Linked DNA regions of Coturnix japonica. The protein of the gene in region 1 purifies or fractionates together with the protein of each later gene. This does not show direct contact. Links are inferred from orthologs where the notes say so. Each region holds a gene or a part of one and is shown on either strand. Other genes may lie near its edges.

Region 1 (3,831 bases):
GTGGTTGGCCAGAGAGTCAAACATGCTGCTGAGGGCACTGGCACCCGCTGCTGTGCCGATCAGATACTCCAGGATGAGATTCCAGCCAATGAAGAATGCTACAAATTCCCCCACTGTCACATAGCTGTAAGTATAGGCAGAGCCTGTGGTCTTGGGGACCCGCACTCCAAACTCAGCGTAGCAAACACCTGTTTGGAAAGAAAAAATGTTTATATATTAAAATTCATCCACAGAGAGCATCTGTGGGCAGTATGGTGGTGTGGTCGTGGTGACCCTATTTCCATACAGTAGCTTTGATGGTGACAGATGTTCCTTCTTCATCTGATAGAGATGCTAATGTGTTCTGTGCTGTTTCCTCTTAAGATGTTGTGTGCATATTCTGGGTCACTACAATGCAGGTGCATGTATGAGCACTGCCCTGTTCATCCTGCTCTCACTCTAGCCATGCCAGATGAGTCTAAAGCCATCTCTCACAAAGAACTAAGTTATTTTAACACTTAAGTATTGCTTGTAGATCTCATACTGAGGATTAACTGCAAAACTGTAAAGAAAGGGGAGAGGTGAAAAGTGTGTAACTGGAGCTGCTTGGGAGGAGATTTCAATGGGATTTAATACTTTCCAGACTTACTACATCAGGGTATTTTTCAATAAAATCCTGATCCTAACACACTGCTATCTTGAAACAACCATCAGATTTTATTAAGTAGTTGTGGATGGACGAAATCAGAAATTCTCAGGGTGTTGGTCAGGGTAAGTGCTGGCAGGACCGCATTGGTGGGGTCCTTGTTCCTAGCTACAGTTTTCAACACAACTCTTCCAAACTGGAGTTCTATAGGGCTGGCCCAGCTACGAGAGCAACAAGATGTCCCAGTCATCCAGTCCCACACAGTCATTATTCAAAGCTGATTAAAAATGCATGCATTCCGCAAAGGTAAGACATTCACGGATAACTGCAGGCTTGAATGATTTATGAAACAGGTGCTCTGGTGGGGACAAGTGTCTGGTTTCTGTCTTTGGTAGCTTTAAAAATCATATAATCTTTCTTGGCAGCAGTACTTTCAGCCAACGACAAGATAAGGCTTGAAGAGGGTTCTTATTGATGCACGGCGATAATGGCAGAGCAGATATTTTTGTATGTATAAAATGTTTGAGTTTCCAATTACTCTACAGGGATTCCAAAATCGTCATCTTTCTCTATTCATTGTATACTGCAGCCTGTAGGGTTTATCTGCTTTAGGTTTCAGTGTATATTAAGAAATAAATCAATCTTTATCATAGCATGTGGTAGCAGTCCGGGGGGCTGGGAGGTGCAAAACTTGTGTTCATACCTGACTGCCACTGAGTTAATAGCAGGTGGCATTAATAATGGCATTTTAATTCACAATTCTACAGGTCCTCCAGCAGAAGTAGAGTTCACAGCACTCCCCTCTGTATGCATGGCTTAAAAAGGAAGATGATATAACTTATTAGGGCATAGATTTTCTCTTACTAATCTCAGCTCCATCTGTAGTGTAGTACTGATAATAAAGCTTCATAACTGAATGTTACTCTGTGCATATGGCTGTGACAAACCCCAATGCCATCAAACTCAGTGGCATTCCCATTTCCCAGAATGATTCCCAAATTTCTGTGGAACCAGGACCTTGCAACACTGCTAAGTTCCATCTCTTCTTTGCAGGTGCCATTTCCCCTTTTGATGCAAAAGAAATCCTGACCTCCATGGAATGTCTGCTACCAACGGTCTCGTCTCTTCTCAGCCACTTCTGAGCATTACAGCCCCTCTCAGCACCAGCAATCTACACTACATTCTGGAAGGAGCATCTTCATCCAAAGACCCTAGGCTAATTTGCAGGTAATGGGCTTTGACTTGATAACCAAGGGTGAGCACAGGTGATGTGGATATCTGCCCGAGCTGTGAACCAGAGCAACTCCTTAAAATCCATCCATGCACACTTGCAGGATGTGAAGTGAGAGCTGAAATCCCCACTGCAGCCTGTCCGGCTCCCAGCCCTTACTGGGTTTCACTTGCCAAAAATGCGCTGCTGTTACAAACAACAGCAGTGTCAATGATGAAGCAAGGAAGTGGCCAAGGAGATAATGAAAACACTTTCCCAGGGCTGCACAAGCAGGGGGGAGATGAAAGCAGGGCTGGGAGCGGCAGAGCTTGTGGGGCCGGCAGGAGCTCCCTGCTGTGGGGCAGGGCCCACAGCTTGGGGGAAAAAAGCTCTTTTTGGGGACAACGTGTTTTCTCAGAGAGGACCCACCCAGGTTGCTCCACTTCATTTGGTTTGCATCACAAAATGGGCTGTGGTGAATGGGGAAAGCACAATAATCCAAGGACTTGAAAAGTAAAGTCAGGTCATTCCCATCCCGCATTGAAGTCCTTTGTCACTGAGTCAGGTTTCCTTGTCCAGCCCACACACGCAAGCTGGATTGCCAGACTGACACAGCATGCAAAGTCCTGTGAGCGGGGAGAGCGGGGGCATCACATCATCATGTTAGCGCTGATCTGGAAAGGACAAATGCCAGCAGTACTGGCTTATGTGGAAACTGCAGCTCAGGCCATATGCTCAGCTGGGTTCACGGGAGGCAATTCGCTGACTTTTCACTGAAATATTTAATTCCTCCCTCTCTGCACATTGCTTTGTTTACTTTATTTTGTTGGAAATTCAAAGAGTGATCCTGAGTGAACGGGAGCCAATAAGAATGTTTCCAAAGGTAGCAGAGGAGTTGCAGGGCTCAGCCCCACCTGCACCGTCCTGCTGGCTCCTCGTACCTGGGCACCCCATCCAGGTGGGGAACACCAGTGCAAAAGGGGTTTTCAGCGTAAGGAGATGTCATTACCCCTCTGTGATGTCTCTGTCCTGGTTGCCATCTCCTCATGGATATTCCCAACATCACGAGACCAGTGCTGGTCATTGGCATGCTGTTCAGCCATGAAGGTAGCCAGAGTGTACCCAAGACCACACTCAAAACCTGCTAGAATGACTCACCTGACAAGATGGAGGCGACAGCAGCGATGATGAAGGACACGATGACTCCAGGCCCTGCCATCTCCTTGGCCACCAGGCCGGACACCACATACATACCGGTGCCCACGCAGCTGCCAACACCAAGGGAGATAAGGTCGAGCGTGGTGAGGACCTTGGCCAGCCGTGTGCCCTGTCCTCCTGCTGTCCCTGTGCCCTCCAGCATTGACTCCACAGGCTTGGTGCGCAGGACGCGGGAGCGCAGAGCATGGCCTGCAGCCCCCCATGGCACCCGCCGTGGGTCCAGGCGTGACAGGAGGCCGCTCATGGCTGCTGCTGGGTGTCCCAGGCTGAATCTGTGCTCAGGGCTGCGGCCGCATTGCCAGTTCTCCAGTGATGGCAACCCAGCTGCAAGAAAGAGAAAAGGTCTCACAGTGTCTGTTTGAGCTGAAACAGCAAAGGGAGAGGTGTTGTCCCAAGGGGGTAAGTTATCAATATCATCCCCCACACAGCAGGAACCTGAAACCCTCCAAGTGCCTAACAAATACCAAAAATGCTCCTGGGCAGCCATGAGGGGCTGGGGCACATCAGGTCACCTCTCTGAATACTTCCAAATGTTGCTGCCTGAGCCAGTCTGCTCTACATGGTGGTTACACCTTCCCAGTCATAAGATTGGCTCCAAGAGCTTGAATTAGCTCATGCTTTTTCCTCGTCAGTTATACTTTCAGGCACTCTTCAGACACAGCCCTTTTCTTTCCTTGTCTTTCTCTTGTTTTTAACAGACTGCATAGTTCCCAGGCAAGAAGAAATGACCCCCTGGTGATGTGTGATGACTTCGAGAAAAACACCAAGAACTGACAAT
Region 2 (2,809 bases), on another chromosome or scaffold:
AAAGGGTACATTTTATTTGTTCCAACTGACCACAAGACCACTGTCTTCCATGCTTAAGTACAAATACCATTAAGACTGCAACAAATTCTGAGGTACTTGTCCAAAAAAAAAAAAAAAAAAAAAAAAGTTTAGACAGACCTTAGGTATCTACCCTATACACTGGTCCAAACATTAAGTGTTTACAATCTAGAACTGAAAAAAAACTGCTGCCAGATTCAAATCTACTTTCTAGCCATTCAAACTAATTTTTCTCATCTCTCAGGGAAAATTATCAGGCTTCAGATGAGCTATGAATGCGTGGAAGTTAACTTCCTGGTAAAACTGGTATGTTTTTCAAGTGACACCAGCAGGTATCATACAAGAAAGAACTATGTTGCTGCCTGTCCTTTAAGATATTCAGCAGAGAGAAGCCTTGGAAGCATGAGCACAATCCAGATTCCATTACTAAATGTGATGAACTGCTGTGTAAAATGCCACCACACTGCTCTGATCAGTCCTTAATAAAAATATTCAGCTTTACTCAGCATTTTTGAAGAGTACATGTAAGGGTACCCTGGATCTCAAGCAAACTCATTCAATCAAACACATTCTGTCATTAGCAACCACTAATTTTTCTAGTATTTTAGTCTTACCTCATGGTCTGGATTAGGAATATTCTCAAGAATCATTTTAGCTTGCTGGAAGTGTTTGCTAGCTGCCATGTAGAGATCTGCTGATTGAGGAGGGGGGCTGTACTTATTTAGATCGGACATTTCCTAGCATATTAAAGAAATATATAAATACATGTTAAGATCAGTTGCCAAAAAGTTGTATTTTTATTACCCTGACTGAAGATGATTGTGTTGAAAAAGATAACGTTAAGAAAAAGCAGTAAAGTTAAAAACATTTATTTTAAAAGGCAAATACTAAGCAGCAATACATTGTTTAATTGTCACTGTGTACTGCCACAAGATGTTGCTATAAAGTGATACCTGTTCACAACAACTTGCCATTCATTTGATTATTTAGTCCTATGCAGTAGGGAATAAAATTATAGGGAAAAAAGGAGCAAAAAAGAAAAAAAAACAAACCCAAAACATGAAGCCAAATGGATGTAACAGTATTTACTCAAAGAACATTTAAGACTCGCTCTACTCAAATCTTCACTTTATAGAATTTTGAAGCTTCAGCTATTTTTTTTGAGAGTGAATAAAAGCTTCAGTGACAGGGAAGAAGCCATGTCTTAATTTCCACAACAGCTATTCATGATAATACATTAAGGAGTGTGGCTGGCATGCTATATATTACAGTTTCAGTGCCAGATAGACCTGTAAAAGCTTAAGAAATTGGCCAACAGATACCTAAGCTCAACATGAAATTTTGAAATTGCTGTAACTGAAGCAGAATAACCCCACATAGGACTGGAGTATACTCCAGTCACCAACTGGAGGAGGAGCACTGTTGCAGCAAACACTGAGCTGAATACAAACCAACCGGGTTCTCTTAAGCTTCTTTGTGATGGCAGACTGGGAAAGACCATAAACTGCAGCTTGGGAGATTTAGACTGAACATGACAAGAAAATGCAAATAGTACAGCCCTGAATCAGGTTATCCACAGACTAAGTGGAGAAGAAAAAGTAACAGGACCAGGTTTTCCAACAAGGAATGTGTATCTCTGTATTTTTTCTGGACTTGACTAAACACAGATACAGCTGGTCTGATCTGTAACACTACTTAGGATGAGACTGAACAAAGGTAGACCTCCACATATCGTGCTTCCAACCAGTGCTTCCATTATTTAAAAGTGAAATCTAGTTTCATCCTTGTTTCCTTTTCCTAACTATTGCTGTAATAAAAACATTCTACTAGACAAACTACAACAAAGAAGTCTGTCAATGGACTTTCAACAGACTTCATTTTCATGCAAATCAACAGAAGCATCTTAAACTGTGAGAGTAGATCCATTTCCAACTATCTAAAAGTCTTAGTAAGAATTTAAAACAGATTTCCTTGCATACAACTAAAAATAGAACTTCCTGCAATTTTGATTTAAAGAATTACAGAACGTCTTAAGCTGGAAGACCATAGAGCCACTCTGCAACCCTCTATCAAGAACAGGAACACCCTATTACTGTCTGAGGATGCCCAGGTATGCCTTAATACAAACTCTGAGATATTAAGAGCTCTTTTTGTAATTACAGTAGTGTCTAAGTAAAGGATTAGTGACAAAAGCATGAGTGGTGCTGCTTTTTTAAAATTACCTTAAACTGCAGGTAGTGCACTGGGGGTGGTGTTATAACACTGTTGAATGGAGCAAATCTGTGCTCATACCGCACCTGTTCACTATCCAATTCAAACTTTGGTTTTCTTACTTTGCCATCCATGTCAAATGCAATCATTGTCTAAAAAGGACAGGATAGAGTACAGTGAGAAGTGTTAGTTTTACACTGTCTTTTGCGCAAGCAAGATAAAAGATAGTCTAGACAGAGGCAAAACAAGTAGAGAATTTACTATACCACATTAAAAACCTGAATTTCATTTTTAGTTCCACTAAAAATAAAGATGGCATGTAATCTATACTTTATTCTCCTTAAAAAAGAAGCCACTGATCAATAGAGCATGTAAAAATTACCTTGTACATCCCAGCACACATGTTTTGGTATGCTTGGCTCATAGTGATCTCTCTGCTCAGAGGGCGAACTGCAAATTTTAGATGAAGAATTTTTAAATTCCATATAAGCAAGAGAACTTATTTCAGATTATTTCCAAGAGTGCTGTTCAAATATGACATGTGTCACTATATTATATGAGCCAAAACGCTCATTGTGAA

The links.
Region 2: the proteins of SLC7A14 (region 1) and GOLM1 purify together in Homo sapiens (co-immunoprecipitation; 3 studies listed by BioGRID and IntAct, with this or other methods). This does not show direct contact. The link is inferred for Coturnix japonica from reciprocal best matches to the Homo sapiens genes SLC7A14 and GOLM1.

Annotation. Positions count from the first base shown.
Region 1 is NC_029524.1:17,484,395-17,488,225, reverse strand, and holds part of SLC7A14 (probable cationic amino acid transporter), read right to left. Parts: intron 3,378-3,831; 5' UTR 3,298-3,377; coding exon 2,994-3,297; intron 189-2,993; coding exon 1-188. UniProt on the Homo sapiens protein: Imports 4-aminobutanoate (GABA) into lysosomes. May act as a GABA sensor that regulates mTORC2-dependent INS signaling and gluconeogenesis. The transport mechanism and substrate selectivity remain to be elucidated.
Region 2 is NC_029547.1:36,934,531-36,937,339, reverse strand, and holds the end of GOLM1 (Golgi membrane protein 1), read left to right. Parts: intron 1-632; coding exon of another isoform or gene 633-755; intron 756-2,034; coding exon 2,035-2,159; 3' UTR 2,160-2,210; downstream 2,211-2,809. Other genes in the region: NAA35 (N-alpha-acetyltransferase 35, NatC auxiliary subunit), read right to left, coding at 633-755, 2,241-2,381, 2,612-2,679.